6 linked regions of the Ovis aries genome follow. The protein of the gene in region 2 purifies or fractionates together with the protein of the main gene of each other region. This does not show direct contact. Links are inferred from orthologs where the notes say so. Each region holds a gene or a part of one and is shown on either strand. Other genes may lie near its edges.

Region 1 (4,046 bases), on a different chromosome or scaffold from region 2:
AGCTCCGGGAGTCGGTGATGGACAGGGAAGCCTGGTGTGCTGCAGTCCGTGGGGCTGCAAAGAGTTGGACACACTGAGCAACTGAACTGAACTGCCCCTTTCACCACTGGGTGCCAGCCCAGGGCTAAATACCCAAGGGGAGACCCTCCCCTCCGTCCCTACCTCCCACTCTCTCACCCCAGGGAAAGCCTGGGTCCAAGGGATTGCTGCCCAAGCATGTCTATAATCCTATTTCTATAGTAAAAACTATTTTAATTATTGAAAAAAAGGGGAGTGAGCAGTGGGGTTGCGTACCAAACTCTCCGTAGAGGTTATATCCTCAACTGGGATTCTGGAGAACTTTTACTTCCAGATGCTAGATCCCGGCAACATTTGACTTTTTCACAGTGTATGAGGAGCCTGGTGGGCAACAGTTCATAGCCTCCCAAAGTTACCTGTTTTAGAAGGAGGGGAGAAAAGGAAAATGTTAAGGGTCAGTTTAATTCATCCCTTTCCTTTACTCAATTCCATGCATACTATGCCACCTTCTGGTCAAGATATGGCTTTTTGTCTGTGTCAAGAAAAATCACCATTAAAAGTGAATACAATGGTTACAGTATCTCCCACCTCCTACCTCCCACCTCCCAAGGTGAAGAGAAAACTTTCTGTTTTGCTCAAATGGGTGAGGAGTGGGTGTGAACAGGGTCAAGCTGAGTGACTGTAGGGTTTTTTACACAGAAAGTGCCTGAAGCCCTCATGTAAAAAAGCCAGGTCTTAAGCAGGAGAAAGCAAAGAGGAGAGACAGATGAGAGCATGGCCTTCAGAAGTATAACTCTGTCAAGGGAGGAATTAGTAAAAGGATTAGTAAAAGGAAAGCACTCTGTGTAACTCTCTCCATGTGCCCTCAAGCGATCTTCAGTGAAGACTGCTGTGACTTTTCAAGGCTCTTTGGGAAAGCATTTCAGATGTGTTAGATGAAGGATAGACAAGGAAGCCCCAGATTCCTTTGCCACATTGTAGCTTTCTCAGAAGGGCTTCCCAGGTAGTTCAGTGGTAAACAATCTGCCTACCAATCCAAGTGCCCGCGGTTCAATCCTTGGGTGGGGAAGATCCCCTGGAGGAGGGCATGGCACACAAAGACCCTGGTTTGGTAAAATACGGTTCGGCCGAAAAGCCGGGAGCAGTGTGTCAAAGTGAAAACTACATTTCCCAAAGGGCAGCGCGGCACGTCACAGAGGATGACGGCGCATGCGTAGAGGGGTCCTCCGCGCTGCGACTAAGCTCATCAGAGGGAAAAAAGCTGTGTGGGTCTCGTCCTGCCGCGAATCTTCGAACGTAAAGGGCGTTGTCATCTGCAGACTCTGAAGAGCATTCGAGGGACCGCGCGCCTGCCCCCGCCGTCGCAGTTTCCAGCGCGACGTGCTTGTTCCACCCGTGGCTCTGTAGGTAGGTATGGATCGCGGTCTGGGACAACCCCCTTCCGCCGCACACCCCCGCCTGCAGGATGGCGGGAGTGGAGGGCCGGTGGTCTCCATGCCCCGGCCTCGCTGAGGCTGCTCTTGAGGGGCGGCGCGCATGCGCCTTGGCGGAGAAAGGCGGGGCGCCGGGAAGGAGGGCTGGTGTATCGTCTGCGCGTGCGCCTGCCTGCCCTGCGCGGGTGGGAAGCCGCCGCATGTGGAGCTTGGCGCAGTGGCCCGGGGAGGCTGGGTACCCAGGCCAGGTGCTAGAAGACAAAGGCAGAGGATGGGCCCCGAACCTTGATAGCATTTGTTATTTGCTCACAATGTGCCCATCTTAACCGAATGACCTCATTCTTCATTCGTATTTCTCTTGGCGCCTTGTTTCTCTGCCCTTGTTTGCAGCCAAAATTTCGGTCTGTACTCACTAGCACTTTTTCTCCTCCGAACCCACTCCAGTCGGGCCTGGGCCCCCACCCTTCCACTGAAATAGCGCCTTGTCAAAGCCACCAGTCATCTCTAGGTCACCAAATTCAGTGTTTAGTTCTCAGACCTGTAGCAGTATTTGATGCAGTTGCAGGAGGAGAAGGGGACGACAGAGGATGAGATGGCTGGATGGCATCACTGACTCGATGGACGTGAATCTGAGTGAACTCTGGGAGTTGGTGATGGACAGGGAGGCCTGGCGTGCTGCGATTCATGGGGTCGCAAAGAGTCGGACACGACTGAGCGGCTGAACTGAACTGAACTGATCTCTTTTTGCTATGGAATGTGCTGAAGTGTGACAAAACTTGGAAGGAAGAGTATAGATTTTATAGTTTGCAGGCTTGCAGTGGCAGCTCAACTACTTGTATTTCCTGAGTTACCTAGCATAACTTCATCCAACTGAACTAAAGCTTCCCCAGCTGTAAAGAAGGTGGGCTTGTAGCATTGATGTAGGCTTAAATGAGAGTCACCTATGTAAGCTTCAGTACCAAAGCCTGGTAGGTATTGGGTTGGGGTGCAGGGTGGGATAGGTGGAAATCATCAGGTCTCCTTAATTTTAAAAAGGAACCGAATTGAGGGACTTCCCTGGTGGTCCAGTGGTTAAGAATCTGCCTTGCAATGCAGAGGACTCAGTGTTTGATCCCTAGTCAGGGAGCTATGAACCCACGTGGCGTGCGGCAGTTAGGCCCAAGCACCACAACTACTGAGCCCATAGCCACAACCAGAGAGTCCATGGGTCCCACATGATGCAACGAAGATGCTGTGTGCTGCAGCTAAATGAATGAATAAATAAATATTTTCTAACAAAACTAATGTAGATTCTTACTGATGTGGCTAAATGGAGGGTATGGGATCTGAATGTAGTCTTGGATGCCTTGCTTCTCTTTGACTTATGACAAAGCTTTTATTGTCCTAAGTCCTATGTGATTATTTTTAGAGTGGTTTAAGTATAGACTATTTTCATTTGTATGAGAGGGTCAGACAGCAGTTTTAGGCTGTATGTATAGCAGTTACTATGTGCTTTTCCTCACAGCCTTGGTCCCTATGAATTACCTCTTTTTTAGTTAAACTTCTTAGTTGCATGTAACAAAAAGGTAGCCCAAACTAGCCTAAGCAGAAAGGGAGTATCTATTGACTCTAACTAGCCTAAGCAGAAAAGGAGTATCTGTTGACTCTAACTAGAGTCCCAGGTGTACCAGCTCCAGGTATGGCTGTATCCAGAAGCCTTGGTTATGTCACCAGTATTTTCTGTGTCTTTTCAGCTCTGCTTTCCTCCATGTTGATTTCTCCCTCAGGCAGGCAAAAATCTCCATCAGTTCCAGGCTTCTATGCTACTCTTTTAGCCAACAGAAAGAGGTCTTTTTTTTTTTTTTTTTTTGTAGATCGCTTTAGCAAGAGATTTGAAATTGATGTTGGCCAGATTTGGGTCACATATGGTGGCTCAGAGGTTAAAGCGTCTGCCTGCAATGTGGGAGACCTGGGTTCGATCCCTGGGTCAGGAAGATTCCCCTGGAGAAGGAAATGGCAACCCACTCCAGTATTCTTGCCTGGAGAATCCCATGGATGGAGGAGCCTGGTGGGCTACAGTCCACAGGGTCGCAAAGAGTCAGACACGACTGAGTGACTTCACTTTCACTTTCATCTCTTCCAGAACCAGTTGTGCTGGACAGGAAGACTAATACTTCCGTGGAGCCAGGTGGTGTACCCAGCCTTGGAGCCAAGATGAAGGATGGTTTCCCAAAGGGAAATTAGAGTACTGTTACAAGACCTAAATGTTTACTTAGGAAAAAGGAACAGATTTCTTTAAAAAGATTCACATGTGACTGCTCTTAGCAGTTTTATTCATAATGGCCCAAAACAGACATAGATGCTGTTCAGAGAAAACAGGTTAGATAAACTGGTTTGTTCATACAATTGATGCAACTCAGCTATAGAAAGGAACAGACTCCTAATACACACAGCAACACAGATGAGTCTCAAAACACATTAAGTAAAAGAAACCAGACACTAAAGTATACAGATGGCATGATTATATTTCTGTGAAGTTCTGGAAAAGGCATAACTGGTCTGTAGTAGAACGTAGCAGAACAGTGGTTCCCCTTGTGGGTAGAAGTAGAAAGTCAG
Region 2 (3,500 bases):
TCGCCTGGCACGGGCACAGTTGCTGGTGGAATGACCAAGAGGGTGGGTGGGTTTCTGTTAGTTTTCTGGTTAGTCTGTTTGCTTTTTCTCTGTTTAACTCAAAACACCTTTCAGCTGCTGCTGCTGCTAAGTCACTTCAGTCGTGTCTGACTCTGTGCAACCCCCTAGACGGCAGCCCACCAGGCTCCTCCGTCCATGGGATTCTCCAGGCAAGAGTACTGGAGTGGGGTGCCATTGCCTTCTCCACACCTTTCAGCTACTAATTATCAACTCCTCTCTACTTCCCTGTTTCAGGGCGAGCCGGGCTGGGCAGAGGAGCCACAGGGCAGGAACTACTTGTCTCCAACCACCCCCTCCTGGGCTCCCAAGAGAGGACGCTGGAAGCCAGGACCTCGGCCTTGCCAGGACAGGACTGCGTGCGGAGAGCAGGCCTGTTTCTCTGATCAGGAGGGTGAAAGCACTGCTGCGCTGGTCCCTTCCCCATAGCTCTGTCCCCCCTGGATTGCGTGCCTGCCTCCATCTCCCGGGCCGGCTGGCCAAAGCCCCAGGCGTGTCCTGGCCTGCTCTGCACTCCCGACAAGAAGCGTCATCGTCACAAAGGTGGCAGCGGAGCAACACCCCACACCGCTCCCTGCCCACACCGCAGGCCCGTGGTCAGGGCCCCGGGATGGAGCAAGCCCAGAAGGGATACAGGAGGCGCTGAGACACACAGACGGGACGCGGCCGCTCCCCACCGGCCCAGTGGGCCCTCAGGGCTCCAGCGCCGGTCAGCTGCTGCCTTCCAAGGGGAGGCCGCGTCCCGGGTGCGGTCGGGAAGTGAAGGGGCTGGGGGCCTCTCCCCTCAGCACCGGTCTGCCTGGGGGTCGCTGTCCAGCCCTGCCAGCTCCCTGTCTCCTGGCTCTACAGGGTCAGCCGGCACATGGAGGTCCCCCCTCCTCGCCTGCCCCCTACTCCTGCCTGTGGGGGACCGGCAAGGTGTCTGGCCCACCCTTTCCCCCCTGAATTAGAGGCGATGAGCGGTGGCAGGGAATCCTGAGATGGTATGGAGACTGTGCCTGCCGCACCGCCGTGGGGCCCGCACACAGACCAAGACTTCGGGCTCCGCAGGTGCCCTGGCAGGAAGCCCACCCTGAGGGGCGGGGGTGGGGGCTGGGGAGCCTGGTGAGGCCTGGAGTCCAGGTCCATGCAGAGCCACCGGCTCTCAGCAGGCCTGGGGCCCAGGAGAGGCCTGGGGGAGTGGCGCCCAGGGCTAGAGGCCCCAGGGATGGATCGGGAGGGAGGCCTCCAAGGGCCGACCTGACGAGCAGGGCTTGGGTCAGGAGAAAGAGAGAGCCGTGCTGAGGGCCCAGAACCTCCCGTCAGGAGAGGCGCTGGGCTGGACCAACTGCTGTCCAAGGACTGGTCTGGGCTCGGGGACTGGCCTGAGGCTCAGTAACTAGAGAGCAGGGGCCGCTCCCAACCCGGTGGGCCTAGATTCCGCAGCGCTTTGGGGATGGCGGGTGGGCGGGTGGGGCTGGACTTCCAGCAGAGGCGCGGGCCCTGAAGCGGTCCCCTGGACAGACAGGCTCAGAACGGGACCTCGGGAGCGCCCACAGCAGGCAGCAGAGCCTCACGCCACCCACGCCGTGGGCTGGGGGCAGCAGGGCTGAACACGCCCTGGAGACAAGCGGACAGCCTGCCAGGCCCCTGTCCAGGCGGTGTACTTCAAGCAGGAAGCAGAAGGGAGGAGCGTGCTCTTTTCTAAGTGGGGAGGGGTCTCGGGGAGAGGGGTGGTCCTGGGGAAGGGGGTGGGGCCGGCTGAGGTCGGGGGCGGCCCGGAGGGCTGTCCCCCCGGGGACTGGGGGCTCACCTGGGCCCGGGGACGGGGGCTCACCTGGGCCCGGCGCCGGGCCGGGTGCGGGACGCCCCTGCCGCTCGCCCAGGCAGCGCTGCAGCTGCCGCAGCTTCTCCTCCTCCAGGCGCACCGCGTGCTGGCGCTGCCGGCGCACCTGGCGGCCCAGGTTCCCCTCGCGGCACAGGCGCCGCGCCGCCTCAGCGATCTGCAGCTGCAGGGCCAGCTGGCGCTCCAGGCCGCTCAGGGGGTCCTGGGGGAGGACGCGATCAGCGATCCCAGGCAGCCCCTCCACACCCGCCCTGGGACCCAACCGGCAGCCTCGAGCCAAGCCCCGCGGGGGCGGGGGCGGGGGCCGAGGTGGACACATTCCGGTCCAACGGTCCAACGGAAGGGCAGACGAGCCCAGGGGCTCCGCAACCCCTCACAGCACAGGGCGGGGCCGAGGGCAGGATCCACCCCCACGGCTCTCCACCCGACTGAGAAAGAGGAAGACAGGCGGGGGGCCGAGCCACCAGCCTGTCCAGGCGGCTGCCCTTTGGCCCTTGGGGGGACTGGCCGAGCGTCCTCCCTTGAGGCCAGGGCCCTTCCAGTTCCTGCCCAGGCAGGGCTTCCCTGAGGCCCCTGTGGGTGACTCGTGGGCGGGGCCCCTCGTCCACCGGGAGCCAAGGGCCTCGAGCGGTGGGGCGGTGGCCTGGGGACAGGGCTGTCCGCCTCCGGGACCCAGGACGGCGCCGGCAGACTCACCTCCCTGTGCAGGGCCCACTCGTCCAGCTTATAAGCGGCTCCGATCCTGCGGCGGACCTTGGGGGCCTTCTCCCCGGGTTTGAGGGGAAACTCCGCAGGCAGGATGCCAGTCAGCTCCTGCAGGGGGGAACGAGGTCACGCCAGGCGGCTCTCACAGGCCCAGCCCTGGGCGGAGCACCGTCCAGCAGGCGTGCATGGCCCATGCCCACCCGGCCCCCGCCACCTCCGCCCGCCCTGCATCTAGGGCTGTCCCTCCTGCTCCCCGGGGCCAGGCCTCTGCACGGGCCGGGCCTCTGCACGGGCCGGGCCATGGTGCCCTGGGTTCCTCCCCCGTGCGGTACTGTCGGCCCCCCCAGGGAGAGCGGTGGTGGGCGGCGCCTGACCCCTGACTCTCAGCCCCACCCCGCAGCCGAGCGGCCCTCACCGCCTCCCGCAGGCAGAGCCTCCTCAGCTCCTCCAGGCAGGCTTCCAGCCGCTCCTCCAGGGCCCGCTGCTGCTTCCGCACGGCGTGGGTCAGCTCCTTCCCGGGGGACACCGGGCTGTCCGGGCCTGCTGGGGACAGGGCCATGTGCTCAGGGGGGCTGGTCCTGGCTGCCTCCCTGCCCGCCCCAGCCCGGGCGGTGATGCACACGTGGGCTCACAGTCTCAGGCCTGTCCAGACTGCGGGCCGGCTGCCACGGTGCTGTGTCACAGCTGCAAACCGGCTCGTCTCCCGCCACCCAGTGGCCCATGACGGCTCAGAGGACGGGCGGCCCCACCAGCCTGGTGCGGTGCGGCCGCGGTCAGGGTTCACCCTTCCCATCCCACCCTCCATCCACGGCCACTGACCGCTTTCTCTGTTTCTCCCCCTCTCGCTGTCACACGCACGCACACACACCACCCACACCTCTTGTCTCTAGTCCTCCATCCAGACCAGTCCCCA
Region 3 (3,500 bases), on a different chromosome or scaffold from region 2:
CGCCCAAGAATGAGTAAGAGTGCCGTGGATTGCGCTGCAGCCAGGGCCCTGGGTTTGCCATGCATGCTGCCTGTGGGGAGCCAGATGCAGAAGGAGGTGATGATGCACTGGGGGTGGGGGAGGCGGGAGCACTGGGCACAAACTTGTGATGGGAAGTAGAGAGATGGGCACAGCTGGCCACCCTCCCAGTGGTCAGGGGGGCTGGGGAGGGAAAAGGACGAGGTCCTCGGGGAACCGCCTTGAAAACGAACCCTCCTCAATCCACCCCAGAGAGGAAACGTGGAGCGCAAATACCCGTGGGCAATATTTATGTGGGCAAGTCTGTCCCCAGGAGTCTGTGTGTCCCGTGGGGCGCTGGCCATGCCTTCACTGTCTTCTGGGAGGCAATTCTGTTAGAACAGTAGGAACTCATACCAAAGTCTCTTCTTAGAGCCTCCTGTACCAAACCCCCTTTCCCCATAGTGCATGCCCGGGTGTGCACACACACGTCCTTTCTAAGCGTCTGTAAGGAGCCCTGACCCAGAGGGCATCACTTACCGAGCTTCAATAGCCAGCCTTCTCGGTCTGGGTTGAAAAAAGTGTGGGTGAGGTCATTCCCATCATCTTCGGGGATTTTAAAGGGTTCATTTTTTATGCTCTCATACAGATTCTGGAAGAAAAGATGACGCTGCATGTCTCCGATCCTAGAAAGACCTCTCCCCCCGCCTTTTCCGTCACTCGTGCAACAAGCACCACTGCGTGCTGTGCACTGGTGGCACCAGAACCCCTCTGCCTTCAGTGCCCAGAGACAAAAGAGACAGAGGCCTAGCCAGGGAGCAAGAGAGATGCGAGAGCAGCCTGACCTCCACTTGAGCCTTAGGTCTCAGAGTCACAGATCACTCTCCCCAACTGATTCCTCGCTGGGCCTCGCTACTAGTTTCTTAATGCAATTTATGTAGCTGAGTGGATGGTCCGAGCAGACACTGGATTAACCCCACGTCCATCAGCATCGCCTGAGCCCATGGCCTTGAAGGAGAGCTGAGCTCACCCGGAGCAGCTCCTCGGGCAGGTCTCCCCCATCGTTGATGCCTCGATTCATGGCTATGAACCTCTCCACGGTGGGCTTATCTTTGACATTGGGGTTATGCAGGCTGGTGTTCAACATGATAATGGCAAATGAGAGGACGTAACAAGTGTCTAAAAGGGAAAAACAAAATCCAGTCAGAAACATCCCACCAGAAAGAACAAAAAGCACCAGGTGAGACTGAGAATGCAAAGCAGTGCTCTCAAAAGAGTAAGCAAAATCCACGCATCTGGGTACACTCTAACTGCAAAGGGCAAGGCATGAGAAAGAATGTAAAGCATTCACGACTTAAAAGGGTTTTATTTTTTTCAGACTGTGTAAGAAGAACATGTACAGAAAAGCACAATATATGAAAAAGAACATATAAACTACCTATAATCCCACTACCTAGGAATAACTTATTTTGCTTTCTTACACAAATGTGACTATGTGTAATGTATCACAAAATGTACCTCAGAGGTTTGACAGAAAACAGCCAAATTTTGTAAAGTGATTATCTTTCAATTAAAAAATAGATAAATTTTTTAAAAATATGAACCTCAGAGATACATACTGTAACATGTCAGAATTACAACAGATACACAGTTTTGAGGTCTGCTTTTTGGCCAATCTTATTAGCATTTTTCCATGTCAATAAAGCCTCTTTATAAAAACATAATTTTTAATAGCTGTACACTTCATAATTCAGAGGTGCCCTTACTTAGACGCCTACTACCTTACTGGCAGACGTGGACAGTTTCCAACTTTTTACCATTACAAACACCATTTAAAGTGATGTTCTTAGGCAGGAACCCAACCCCTCTGGTTTTGGGATGGCCCAGTGCCTAGCAGAGCGCCGGGCAGGCGCTGCCAGCCCCGGGAGGGGACGCGCGCGCACCTGTGGACTGGAACACCCCATGGTTGCACTGACAGTAGCGCTGGGCAAACGCCTCCATCATCCGGTCGATCTTCTGGGCCTCTCCCGGCAGCCGGAAGCTCCATAGGAACTGCCTGCGGGTGAAGACAGGGTGTGTTACGGCACTGGGGGGGGACACCCTGTGTGTGAGAGCTTTCTGCAGCCAAGGGAGATGTCGGGGGCTTCAGCCTTCTGTCAGATGCAGGCTAACCACTCCACATCTCTGTCTTCTCGATAGAAGGGAATGTATTTATGAAAAGAAAAAGAAAGAAAAAGATTTTCCTATTCAAAAGAATGGTTCACCTCGTCAGACTGATACATAAGAACTCCAATTAAAAGAACTCCAATTTCCAGAAAGAAAAAAAAAAAAGACATAGCAGGAAAAGAGATTTTCTATCAAAGCAGTCATGACTAAGCCCTTTAAGTCAAACAGAAACCCGCAGCCAACAGGTTTAATTCTGGATTTTTTTTCACCTACCTAAACAACAACACAAAACATGATATTATTTACTGTTAAACAGCAATGAAAATACCAAATTACAATTTCTCAAAAAGCACAAGGGAACTAGATTTAGCAAAAAAAAATTAGATGTTGACTTTTTTCCTTCTAAAATGAAGGGCACACTACCTATTTCCTGTTCCAGGGCAAGAAATTTAAACGATTTTCTTGAGTGAAATTGGGAAATATTCAAAGTGGAAATATTCATCAATTTCCAAACGTTAACTGAAAGATCTGAGGAAGAGTTTTACAAATTTTGCTTTCAATTTAACCCCCTTTAACCAGGTCAGGAAGCAACAGTTAGAACTGGACATGGAACAACAGACTGGTTCCAAATAGGAAAAGGAGTACATCAAGGCTGTATATTGTCACCCTGCTTATTTAACTTATATGAAGAGTATATCATGAGTGAAACGCTGGGCTGGAGGAAGCACAAGCTGGAATCAAGATTGCCGGGAGAAATATCAATAACCTCAGATATGCAGATGACACCACCCTTATGGCAGAAAGTAGAGAAGAACTAAAGAGCCTCTTGAGGAAAGTGAAAGAGGAGAGTGAAAAAGTTGGCTTAAAGCTCAACATTCAGAAAACTAAGATCATGGCATCCGGTCCCATCACTTCATGGCAAATAGATGAGGAAACAGTGGAAACAGTGGCTGACTTTATTTTTTGGGGCTCCAAAAGCAGATGGTGATTGTAGCCATGAAATTAAAAGATGCTTACTCCTTGGAAGGAAAGTTATGACCAACCTAGGCAGCATATTAAAAAGCAGAGACATTATTTTGTCAACAAAGGTCTGTCTAGTCAAGGCTATGGTTTTTCCAGTGGTCATGTATGGATGTGAGAGTTGGACTATAAAGAAAGCTGAGCGCCGAAGAATTGATTCTTTTGAAGTGTGGTGTTGGAGAAGACTCTTGAGAGTCCCTTGGATGGCAAGGAGATCCAACCAGTCCATCTTAAGGAGATCAGTCCTGGATGTTCATTGGAAGGACTGATGTTGAAGCTGAAACTCCAATACTTTGGCCACCTGATGCAAAGAGCTG
Region 4 (4,052 bases), on a different chromosome or scaffold from region 2:
GCAGGATACAAATAACGGTATTAGGCAACCAGCCTGGACTCTTAAAAAGTCATTGTAAAAAACAAAAAGTTGTTTGTTTGTTTTTAAGACTGAGGAGACAGAACTAAATATAAAGTGTAAACCCTGACGGGAACCTGGATGGGTAAGAAAAATAGCTATAAAAGGCGACGTGGGAGCAAACTGGGGAGAGCAGGATTCGACTGGCATGTGAAAGCATGGTGCGGACTTACCGCTGGGCCCTTAAGTGTGGCAACGGTTGTGGTTAAGTAGGAGGCTGTCCTCGGGAGATGAATGCTGTTGAGTATTCAGGAATAAAGTGTCACATTATACATAACTTCCTTTCAGATGGGTTAGCCAAAAAAAAAAAAAAAGGAGTATTAACAGTGTTAAAAGATAAGGCAAACGTGGCAAATGCTAGCAATGAGGGTAACATACATGGATACTGACAACACTATTTCAACTTTTCTGCAGACTCAAAGGTTTTTAAAATAGCAACTTGAGAGAGAAAAGAAACAATAAGTGTACTGCCAATCACCGATTATTCCTAAGCCCAAACCCACAGGATCCGCCCCTCTGCTCTGCTGTGAACGTAAATGGGGGCAAGGGGCGGGCCTCTCTGCTGACTAATGGCTTTAAATGCCTACTGATTGGGATTTGTGATTAATTTTTCAGGACATAATTTCACATGGGCTTTTTCATGTCCATTTTACATATGAGAAGACTGAGACTTAAGGAGATTAAGTAATTGGCACAAAGCCTCAAGGCGGGAGGTACCACAGCTGCAGATATTTGCTTAAAAATGTCAACAGCAAATAACCGGTTCAAATGTTTAAACAAACCTCCCTACTAGACTCAGATTCTCAGAACAAACCACTGATGCCACGGTTGACTATCTTCTGCCTTAAACCGGGGAAACTGTCAGAAACATCTTTCAGTGGCTGACCTGATGGAGCAAATGGGCAAACCCTGGACTCTTAATGCCCAGATTTCACAAGGGAGAAGGGGGCCTCTCCAATCCCCTGGGACTGAGGTTATCAGTGCAGGAGCGCGGTTGCATGGTTCATCCCAACACAGCCGGCCAGGAGGAAGCATGGCCAAGGACAAGGAAGGCCACCCGCCACAGCACCCTGGTTCCAATAAATGGATAAGAGTAATGGTCTCTGGATGGATGATGGATGAGGGGTGGGGTAGTGTAGGGACACTAGGGAACAAGAGCTTCAATAAAACAAGCAAAAACAGCCTCAAAATGAAGGGTTTATACTAACAGAATCCTCTCCAGCACTTGGGGAAGGTGATCAGGTTAGCTTTTACCACCCGAGCTTGGTCTTTCATCTCTAGTGGACGCTGGACGGGCCCTGGCTGTCAACTTACAGCTCTTTTAATTAAGGAAATGGTTCTCCTGTCAAATCTGTTCCTGAAATTCCCAGTCGCCAATCTGTTTGATTGCTAAAACCAAGAAAAAACTGCCCAAGCCAAGCTCATGAGATTAGAGAAGCTTCTGGGCGTTCCCTCTCCGAAGGGACACAGCTGCGGCCAGCAACCACCCACCCGGAGGGCAGTGGGCCAGGGCGCACCCCTGACTCAGGGCTCCCGGGCAGGCCTGCCGCAGATCGGGCGCTGGAAGGACTAGGTGAAGCAGACTTTCCTCTCAAGGGTGCAATGCTTTTTACCCTACCCCCAAATTTTCAAACCCCTGGAAAAGAGAATGGCACCCCACTCCAGTACTCCTGCCTGGAGAACGCCATGGACAGAGGAGCCTGGAAGGCTACAGTCCGTGGGGCTTCGGAGTCGGACACGACTGAGCGACTGACACACGCGCACAAATTTTCACCAACAGAAAAGGGAGACAGAATTTCGAATGGAGAAGCAGCCAGAGCACTTCTGAGGGGCTTTCTCAGCGCTGCACGCGGGCGAGCCTGCTCTGTGCAGAAGCCGTGGCACCGGCCTCAGATGCGCCCCCCCCCCCGGGGGCGGGGTGCAGAAGGGAGGTCCCCGCAGGGCCCAGAGACTGAAATCCTGAAGCCAAGCACCTCAGCGCTGACAGAAGCAGAGCCCCCTGGGAAGCATCTTGGCTTATGTTCTTTCCAGATTAAAAAATAGTAATAATAATTATGTTCTGCACGTCCGGCCAAAGAACCGGGCATCTGGGAGGCAGAACCACCACGGGGGCTGCCAGATGGGCGTGGGACCCGCACGCGCTCCCTCGGGCTGCCCCGCTGGCAGGAATGTTCTTGTGAGCAAGATTCAGAGCCCCTCAGGACCAGTCTGACCTGAGGAAGGAGGGAAGAAGGCATGTGACTTTGTGTCAAAAACATCACAGTAACCATCTGACGGGCACAGAGCTTAATCTCGATTTTCAATGAAAAGGCTCAAGCTCCAGAAACGGCGCATCTTGGGGGAGCCCACGGCAGACACTCTGTGATTCCTGGGGACAGGCAATGTTTCAGAAGAACACTCACCCGACATTAATATTCCTGTTACGCAGGCGATGAAAGGCATCATTTTATTCTCAAGACGGTTCTCGCCCTCTGAGTGCATCACACACTGCATCAAAGTCTGTGGCCACTTGTCCTCCCACACTCGGGAAATACAGCCTCATCGTGTGAACAGGCCAAACATTGAAAAGTCACTGAAATCCTCCTGTTTTCCCATACTCTAACACACACAGAAATGAACTCATCTGCCTGTCTCAATTCAAAAAAATTTTAATCTAATTACTGCAACTTGGAAAAGGACATTCTTGATCGCTTTATTTCCTCTCTGAAGAGCTCAAAGGAAGTCCTGTCTTCTAACAGAATATTAAATGGCCGATGCCTGCCGCTTCTGACTGCTGTGTTTAAAAAAAAATCCTTCTGTGTTAAAATAAATGTAGTCATAAGGATGTGCCAAACGAAACTGTTAATGGATTTACGAGCATGTGAAAATAGATTTTGTTTTATTCAATGTAGGAGAAAAGTGTTCATCTCAGAAAGAAAGTATAACCTAGCCCAGTTCTTAAAGGGATAAATATATATACCCAGCGAACACGCATGGGAGAGAGATGTTTCCCCTGGGCCCTCAGTGGCCAAGACAAGATCCTTACTCTTGATAAATAAGAGAATGAAACTTGCCTGCTGCTCCAGCCAGCATCAGGCGACCTTTCGGCCCCTGGCTCCGCCACCTCTCCACAGCCCAAAACAAGGTAGGTATTTACAGTCCCACGAGACGGGACACGTGGAGACGGGACACGTGGAGACGGGAGGGGAGAGGGCCCTCCTGTGTCCCAGCAACTCCACCGAGAGCCCGGCAGACCATCCTCAGCCTGAGGGCCTGGAACTGAACAGATTTGAGGGGTACCGTGAATACAGGTTGGCCACCACCCGGGCCCGACAAAGGCCACAGCAAGAGGAGGAACTGTTTCCTCCTTGAGTATTCCTCCAAGAAGGAAAACAGTCTCCCCAAAAGTCCCCCTGCCAACTGCCCCTCACAGCTCATGCTGAACTTGGCTTCTATATCCTTCCTTCAGTAAGGAAAACGGGATTACCTTTACCGGTTTAGACGGCTTAAGCAAATCAGGGTTGTTAAGCAAGGAAGAAAGGGAGGATTTACTTGGGATACGGAGCGAAATGGGCTGCTACAGACTCCAACTCTGCCCTACAGACGGCCAGCCTGCACGCGGTGGGCAGCAGAGAAACAACCCAGTTGACCTGCCCTTCCCCTGCTGCCCCAAAATGTCTAGGTCCTGTTTTCTAGTTTAAAATCAAGGGTTGTTATTTAAAAGTTACATGTTACAGAAAGCAAAAATTTTTTAAATACTTTCAAAAGCCTATGCGGCCACCCTAGCACTAAATCAACTAGACAAACAGCTAAATAGTGACTGCTTTAATGAAGCCTCACATTATCAAATTGTGGTTTTAAAGAACTTCCAGAATGTAAAATAAATGCAATCCAGATGTTCTCTGAAAAAAAAAAAAAAAATGAAAACAAGATTGTTTTTACTTCATAGCAACCAAATAGGTCAACCCATTTCCTCCTTCATAGAATTCTCAGAGGACCACAAACTCCACTTGAAG
Region 5 (3,988 bases), on a different chromosome or scaffold from region 2:
TGGCCTGGAATCTGTCCCTGCCTGCCGAACTCTGGGACGATGAGTGAGGCCCAGGCCCAGACACGACCCTCAGACCCAATTTGGGACCTGTCCGTGATGGGGGTGCCCAGTTTCTCCCTCCAAGCCAGGCCCCTGCACCTGTTTTGCCTTCAAGGAATGGAAATGAGAGGCGGGGGAGGGGAAATGGCCTCAGATGCCAGAGGAGTCGGAGAAGAGGGAGGAGTTTAAGAAGAGCAAGAGTATGAGAGGAGGGGGACGCGAAATGAGACAGAGAGGAGGGAAAGGGCTCGGAGAAGGGAGAAGGGATCAGAGGTGGAAGGATGCTGAGGAAAGGGGAACTGTCCTGGGCACGGAAAGGATGCTAACCTAAAGGAGGAGTTTGGGGGAGAGAGGGAGGAAACTGAGAGGCTTCGAGAGGCAGGAAGGCAGAGCCTGTCCTTTCACTGGATTTGGCCTTCCTCTATAGTCCCATTCTCCTCTACAGAGACCATAAAGCGCAGCATTTGGAAGAAAGTCTTTTTTTTCACCACTCCTTGACTCTGAAGAGGCTGAGGTGGATGGGGGAGGTCAAAGGAGGAGGGTAAGGAAAGGGTCTGCAGATCGGAGAGGCCAGTACATTTGAGAAAGGGGGCCAAAAGGAAAGTGAGCCAAAGCGGCTCCCGGTTGCTTGGCAACCACTGCGGTCAAAAGCCAGGCGGGCCAGCTAGGAGGTGTGGCTCAAGGAAACAGCAGGGAGCTGTGGCCCCGCCCCCTAGCAACAAGCCTAACAAAGTACCGCCCCCTAGCGACGTATTGCTATAGGCCCGGCTCGATTGACCTGGTATCCTATTGAGCAGAGCCCTTGCGCAGGCGTAGTCCTCCCTCTGCGTCTGCTTAGTCCCGCCTCCATGCATCTCCTTTTCGAGGCTTCTCATTGGAGGGGAAGCCTGCCAAGAACCCTTTGGTTTCGGAGGCGGGGCCCGGCCCCTGCTCTCACTCCAATTGGCCCCACAGACCGTCTACTTTGGGCTGAACGTTGCTACGCCTGCTCCTAGTGCGCCTATTGGCCCTGGAGGGCGATCCTTCGGTTTCGGAGGCGGAACAGAAGAGAGGGCACGCCGTGGATTGGGCGGTGTCAAAACGAGGGGCGGTCCCTACTGGCGGGGCGGTTGGGAGACGAAGGGAGAGTCTTTTCAGCGCTGAGGACTGGCGCTGAGGAGGCGGCGGTGGCTCCCGGGGCGTTTGAGCGGGCTCACCCGAGCCCGCGGGCCAACGCGGATCCGGGCCCGACCGGCGGGACCGCCCCGGACTCCCCGCGGGCCTTCCTAGCCGCCATGGAGGACGGTGTCTATGGTAAGTCGGGGAGGGGCGGGGCCGGCTGGGAGCAGATGGAGCGTTTCAGCCCGAACGTTCCGCCGCGAACGACCTCCCCCACCACGACGCGCGCCTTGAGAAGCTTGTTCGGCCCTGTTGTCGCCTCGCTTTTGTGGGGCGCGGGACGGGCTTCCGGCAGGGCAGGAGAGCGGGGCGTTCCAGGCCATTGTTTGGGCCGAGCCTGTTTCCGGTGGCAGCGGGAGGGGGTGGGATGGAGCGGCGGAGGCGAGGCTGAGGCGGAACCATTCCCTCTGGAGGGGCCGGGCGAGCCCAGTGCCTGCCGGGAGAGGGGAGGGGGGCTTCTGGGGACGGTGGGGTGGGGAGAAATCGTGTGGGCCAGAGATTCCGCTAGGGCCAGGGCGGGGGCCTTCGATGCCCCACCCCTTCCTTCACTCTCGCAAGCTGTCATTAGCTTCCCCTGCCATGGTTACTTTCCATGGACCCAGGAGTCCGGGCACCCAGGTCCCCAGCTACCTCGCCGAGAATGGAGGCAGAAAACCAAGGCCTCAGGCCCCTTGCAAGTAATGAACCGCAGTGTCAAGCTTCCAGGCCCCTTTCCCCTGTAAACCTTAGAGTAGAGGCTCCAAGCCCCCTTCTCTCCCAAGGACTAAGAGTCTAGATTCCCAGCCCTTCCTCCCCTGGACTGACCCCCAGCCCCTTCTTCCACTGACCGGAGGCGGGACTCTTATCCTCATCCTCCCCATGAACCTAGGAGCTCTGTCCTTCACCAGATTTCAGAAGTCCAGGCTCCCAGTCCCCAGAACTGATCTCCCACCCCTGATTCCCTCCCCCAGAACCCCCGGACCTGACTCCGGAGGAGCGGATGGAGCTGGAGAACATTCGACGGCGGAAGCAGGAGCTGCTGGTGGAGATCCAGCGCCTGCGGGAGGAGCTCAGCGAAGCCATGAGCGAGGTGGAGGGTCTGGAGGCCAATGAGGGCAGGTGAGGGCTAGGGCAGGGAGCCTAGGGGTCATGGGGCCAGGCGAGGGCCAAGGATGCCCAGGCATTGACCTTGCACCCTCTGCTCTCTGCCCCTGCAGCAAAACCTTGCAACGGAACCGGAAGATGGCAATGGGCAGGAAGAAGTTCAATATGGACCCCAAAAAGGTGCTTGGGGCCACAGGGCTGGGATCGGCCAAGCTGACATCCAGATAGGATTCTGGCATCTCCGGGTTCCAGAAGTGTGGTGGTTAAAGGTCTGTCTTAGGTGGACAGAATTGGTCCTGATCACTGGATCCAGATATTGGCAGTATTTGTTCCCTGAACACTAACCAAGTGCTTCAGCCTCCTGATCTTTGTGTATGCTGGAACTTCTACCTGAGTGGTCCTCCTCTCCTTTTTGCTCATATTTTAGGACCCATTTCTCTTGCCACTCTTGAGTCCCCAGGAGGAGCTTGATTGAGTCTGGTAGGGAATGTGGACAGAGAAGTGCCATGACAGAGAGAAAGAGAGGTACTGGACTGTGGACACAGAGGAGTGAGCCTGGTGGCATCAAGGAGGGCTTCCCTCAGGAGGACATTTGGGTCAGGCGAAGGATGACTGAGTGTTCACCCAGTGGAGAAAAGATGTTCGTTCATTCATTCATTCATTTTACACCATTTCCTCAGGCCTCCCTCTGGGCTGCGGCTCTGCTAGGTACTGCATAGGACCCAGTGTAGGGTTTGATGCTGCCTTGCCCTCAGGGAGCCCCTAGACGCAGATACTAAAATCCAGAGAGAGGGGTCCTCAGTTCATCGTCCTCAAGACATCAGGAGAGCCTGAGAAAGACCTCCAGCCTGAGCCCTCACAGCTCCTCATGAACTGATGTCTTCTAACAGTTTCCCACTTTATTCTTCTTGCCAGAAGCAGTGGTAGTTTGTAAAGTCATTCAGCAGACATTCATGAAGCTCCTGTTCTTGCCAGGTCCTGCTCCGGGGGGACTGGAATTCACCAGGCAAAGGCAGAGGCAGCAGTAGATGCAAAGTCTAGGCTGCGGGAGAGGCGGTGTTTAGGGGCCTGGGAAGAGCCTGAAAATGAAACTCAGGCCCCGCTCTGTTGAGAATGGGGGTGGGTTTGGAGGCTAAGGTTTCTAGGGGTGTCTTTCTGAGCATGCCAGCACTGAGACCCAGCCCTTCCCACCAGGGGATCCAGTTCCTGGTGGAGAATGAACTTTTGCAGAACACACCTGAGGAGATCGCCCGCTTCCTGTACAAGGGCGAGGGCCTGAACAAGACGGCCATTGGGGACTACCTGGGGGAGAGGTGAGAATCGCACTCCCTGCACCCAGCTCCTGCTGGGCATCTCCTCTCTGCCCCTTGCACCCAGCTTTTGTTGAGGAGAGGCCCTGATAGATGAGCCTTGCAACTGGACTGTGACAAAATGGACTGACACAGAGATTGGGGTGGGGGACCTTTTGAGGAACCTGGGGATCATCTGTGAGCATGTGGAGGGTATGGGACATTTGAGGACATCTGAGCAATGCGGGGACCATCACCCATTTATGTCAGGACAGTGGAGAACATTTGTGGGTGGTATGGGAGCGTGAGAACCATTGGAGACAGCTGGTGTGCATGGGAGCGACGTGGACAGTGATGCAGGAAGTGGGAGGGGTCAGTCAGTGGATATCTGGGGAGCATGAGGGGCCCATGGACATCTG
Region 6 (3,500 bases), about 46 Mb from region 2:
CCAACTTTAAAAGGGAGAAAACGGATGACAAAGCTTACCCAACAACTTGATATGATGTCTGAATCTCCTCCCATCCGCCCAAAGTCCTTCTTACACTCTGATTCTGACTATTTGGGGTCTTTGTTTTCTTCATGCTCACAGGTTACTTCATTTTCTTCAGACATTTGTTTCCCCAGAGCCTGACTTTAGTCAGCCTGAATCTGACCTCTAGCTTTAACCACAGCCAGTAGAATCTCAGCACTTTTTCTTTGGCATTCACAACATAATGTAGTGACTCCTGTTTTTCCCTACAGTTATGGCCTTAGCTTTGTTTTCTGGTTTATACAAACTAAGAATGACTGAATTATCTACTCAGTCACATTCTGACATTATTCCCTTAAATGAATCCTGGTTTAGATTCTTGGTTTTCTTTATCCATAGTGTGACCAAATAATTTGTCACTGAAATTGGGACTCTTTTTGAAAATGAAAAAAAGGATGCTTATTATGGACAGCAGGTATACACGAGGTTTTATGGTCCTTCTCTTCATCCAGCAGTTTACTTTTCAAGAGTCTCAACTGCCAACAATGACTTCCTTCTTGACTTTCTGTTGTTGTGGCCAGGCTATTTCCTTGCACTTTTAACTTCCATTTGAGTTTCAGATTTGACCTTTTCAATGCTGAAGAACTTTTCAGGATTTATCAAAACCTAGTGTAGAGATTCATACATGGAAACTACTCACAAGGTTAATAACACAGCTAATATTTATAGACCTTTTATCATAAGATAGCATTATAATAATAAGCCTCATATATTTTATTGAATTCTTTTTGCAATCTAGTGTTCACTCAGTGTACTTATATCTGGTACATCTAGTACAGATCTGTCTGTCTACAAGTGTTCATGTTTTTAAACTATTACAATATAATCTCCCACTGAAAGATCTTTTAATAGAGAAACACCAATAAACTACAAATGAAATATACATAAATCAAACAAAACTACACTAGAATAAAATTAATCTGAATTTTAACACTTAATAGCTTTTTTTCCCCAAAATCTATCCTTTTATTTTCTACTTGACAGTATCTTAAATAGCAATATACTAACTTTAATCTGAAAGTAATGTCATTATTGATTCAGTGATGAAAATAATTAGAAATGACTGAGTCATTTTCTATTGCTACAACTGTGTTCTTAGCTTTCCTTTACTATTATTAGAAATATTACTTTATCTGTTTGTTAATTTTTAAAAACTTCTCTTTTTTTTATTTACTTCTCTTATTAACAACTATCATAATATCTATTTCCTAAATTAATGGGTTTCCGAAAGTCTGGAGTGCTATACCCCAACACTGAAAAATTCTGAGCATTTGCTCCTCAACTGACGGATGTTAGAAATTTTATATATATATACATACACACACTGTATACACTATAGAACACACTCTTAAACAGAAATAAAAACTATGAAATTAAAAATAAATATAAGTCCTAATAATCTCCTGCTTCCCAAAGGGTTACCTTGTCTATTCTCTAAAAGACCACTGTTTAAGCTCATCATCTGAACTAGTGTATCTCAAATGTTAATCTGCATATGAGCCCTACTTTTAAGGCAGATTCCTTTTCACTATATTTAAGGTGGACTGGAGATTTTGTATTTCTAACAGGCTCTCTAGTGATGCTAATGCTGCTCACATGCTAAGTAACAAGAACCGAAACAAGAGATTAATGCTTAGCCAAATTTATGTTTCTGTCTTCCAGGGGATAAAATATACAGCAGATTCTAAAGTCAATCTTTCATTACTGGGGGCAAAACTACTTTTTAAACCATATAACAATCATTATACACATTAATCAAAAACATCAAAAATAAAATCTGTAATGTAAATAACTATCATAACTAGGTATACCCTTGCTTAAACTCAGAGTATCATAAACACACTGATTTTGTTTTTATACATTTCTTTTCTATCACCACAGACAGCAGTGAATAGAAATTAAGAGAAGAAACTAAGGAGAAAGAATAAAATGGATTAAAACATGTCTTTTCATCTGCTTCAAAAATAAAATTAAAAAAATAAAAACTCTGTTTAACTATTTTTAACTGAAGCTCATGTTTATATTAATGGAGTCAACAGTAATCTGGTTTTCTTTGATTTTTAGTTTTTAAATGCAAAGTGAGCATGGTCAAGATGTAGCATTTAAAAAGTCAAACTTAAATTATTACAACTTTAACAGGTCCAAACAGCTTATATGTATAGAACTTTACATATGAAACTCAGGCAAATTCAGAATATAGTAGAACAAAATCAGAAAGCATTTTGGTCTTATTGTTAGGTTTCCAGTTCCCTAATAAAATCCTAAAGTTTTAATACACTACCTACATGAAAACATTTGATATCCTCTAATAATTTCCAACAGTTAAATATACCACGAGAAAACTAATACCAATTATTTACCTTGTCAATCATTTTTCTTGCTTCCACTTCCTCACTGTTGGGATTCTCTAACTCAATGGTATAAGTACCCTTGTCACTTTGGTCATCATCATTATCCTTTTCAGAAGCAGCGGAAGTAGCTTGATTTTTTAACATTTTATCCATCTCCTGGCTTGGTCTGTGCCCAAGACTCCCTGAACTTCTTAATAATGCAGTTTGTAGGAAGGGAATTGACACCGATGGCTCCTCTGATTTCTGTTTTAACAATTTCCCATGTGGAACACCATGCCCCCCTCTGTGGTGCGCAGAGCTAGTCTGTAAAGACAAAGAAACCACTTTGGCATCTGCTGTTGGAGATTTTGTTTTTTCAAGTTTTGTATGTGGTGCTGAATAAGTAGTTTCCTGACACAAGATTCCCGTACTCTGAGTGAAAGAATATGACCTTCTTTTTCTGGGATTGTCTTCATCAAAGAATGCAATCATAAAAGCAGTTTGACTTACAACAGCTTGGTCTTGATGCTTTTCAGTAGCCTGGGCCTTCTGTAGTTTTTTCTGTTCTGAATGGTGGCGCCTTAAGTGTTCCTCAAGAGTTGCACGCTTGCTACAGCGCCTGTGAGCCCCAGCATTTTCTGAGTCGCTTTGTGTACCATCATCATGTTTGTTTCCTGGACACAGAAAAGAAACCGCATAATAGAGACGGGAAAAAATCCTATGTAGAAAATCAAAGCATATACAAAAGTGCTGCTTGTTCTGCCCCTCCCCCCTTTCAATCCAAAGTCATATGTTCTTTTCAGTAACAGGCTCTGCAAACTTCCCTCAATTGCAATGCTTACATTCAAATTTCATCAACCAACAATGAGTCCTTTATAAACACTTGAATAGGATTACTTTTCTTTCTCCAAATTTTGACTTTATAATGGTTCATCAGTGCCTTAAAAGATAAGCAGTGCTACATCTATGATAGTCTGTATTTGTAACATTAAATATTAATCCTGCCTTTAAACCTTATACCTTATTTAAACAATCAAAAACTTATCTTTAGCATTAGAAGGGAAAAGACAGAAAAAAGTGTGATCCCAC

Evidence for each region.
Region 1: the proteins of INAVA (region 2) and SGF29 purify together in Homo sapiens (co-immunoprecipitation; 3 studies listed by BioGRID and IntAct, counting the BioPlex papers as one, with this or other methods). This does not show direct contact. The link is inferred for Ovis aries from reciprocal best matches to the Homo sapiens genes INAVA and SGF29.
Region 3: the proteins of INAVA (region 2) and CYTH1 purify together in Homo sapiens (co-immunoprecipitation; 3 studies listed by BioGRID and IntAct, counting the BioPlex papers as one, with this or other methods). This does not show direct contact. The link is inferred for Ovis aries from reciprocal best matches to the Homo sapiens genes INAVA and CYTH1.
Region 4: the proteins of INAVA (region 2) and CYTH3 purify together in Homo sapiens (co-immunoprecipitation; 3 studies listed by BioGRID and IntAct, counting the BioPlex papers as one, with this or other methods). This does not show direct contact. The link is inferred for Ovis aries from reciprocal best matches to the Homo sapiens genes INAVA and CYTH3.
Region 5: the proteins of INAVA (region 2) and CYTH2 purify together in Homo sapiens (co-immunoprecipitation; 3 studies listed by BioGRID and IntAct, counting the BioPlex papers as one, with this or other methods). This does not show direct contact. The link is inferred for Ovis aries from reciprocal best matches to the Homo sapiens genes INAVA and CYTH2.
Region 6: the proteins of INAVA (region 2) and CEP170 purify together in Homo sapiens (co-immunoprecipitation; 3 studies listed by BioGRID and IntAct, counting the BioPlex papers as one, with this or other methods). This does not show direct contact. The link is inferred for Ovis aries from reciprocal best matches to the Homo sapiens genes INAVA and CEP170.

The regions. Positions count from the first base shown.
Region 1 is NC_056077.1:26,603,647-26,607,692, forward strand, and holds the start of SGF29 (SAGA-associated factor 29), read left to right. Parts: upstream 1-1,246; 5' UTR 1,247-1,425; exon of another isoform or gene 1,426-1,563; intron 1,564-3,573; 5' UTR 3,574-3,809; intron 3,810-4,046. UniProt on the Homo sapiens protein: Chromatin reader component of some histone acetyltransferase (HAT) SAGA-type complexes like the TFTC-HAT, ATAC or STAGA complexes.
Region 2 is NC_056065.1:78,908,776-78,912,275, reverse strand, and holds part of INAVA (innate immunity activator protein), read right to left. Parts: intron 3,131-3,500; coding exon 3,003-3,130; intron 2,696-3,002; coding exon 2,579-2,695; intron 2,085-2,578; coding exon 1,850-2,084; intron 1-1,849. UniProt on the Homo sapiens protein: Expressed in peripheral macrophages and intestinal myeloid-derived cells, is required for optimal PRR (pattern recognition receptor)-induced signaling, cytokine secretion, and bacterial clearance.
Region 3 is NC_056064.1:52,964,185-52,967,684, reverse strand, and holds part of CYTH1 (cytohesin-1), read right to left. Parts: intron 2,054-3,500; coding exon 1,941-2,053; intron 1,177-1,940; coding exon 1,028-1,176; intron 650-1,027; coding exon 537-649; intron 1-536. UniProt on the Homo sapiens protein: Promotes guanine-nucleotide exchange on ARF1, ARF5 and ARF6. Promotes the activation of ARF factors through replacement of GDP with GTP.
Region 4 is NC_056077.1:38,609,240-38,613,291, forward strand, and holds the start of CYTH3 (cytohesin-3), read right to left. Parts: upstream 2,801-4,052; 5' UTR 2,551-2,800; coding exon 2,460-2,550; intron 1-2,459. UniProt on the Homo sapiens protein: Promotes guanine-nucleotide exchange on ARF1 and ARF6. Promotes the activation of ARF factors through replacement of GDP with GTP. Plays a role in the epithelial polarization.
Region 5 is NC_056067.1:54,896,523-54,900,510, forward strand, and holds the start of CYTH2 (cytohesin-2), read left to right. Parts: upstream 1-1,188; 5' UTR 1,189-1,313; coding exon 1,314-1,332; intron 1,333-2,147; coding exon 2,148-2,295; intron 2,296-2,393; coding exon 2,394-2,460; intron 2,461-3,474; coding exon 3,475-3,593; intron 3,594-3,988. UniProt on the Homo sapiens protein: Acts as a guanine-nucleotide exchange factor (GEF). Promotes guanine-nucleotide exchange on ARF1, ARF3 and ARF6. Activates ARF factors through replacement of GDP with GTP.
Region 6 is NC_056065.1:33,235,539-33,239,038, reverse strand, and holds part of CEP170 (centrosomal protein of 170 kDa), read right to left. Parts: intron 3,086-3,500; coding exon 2,442-3,085; intron 1-2,441.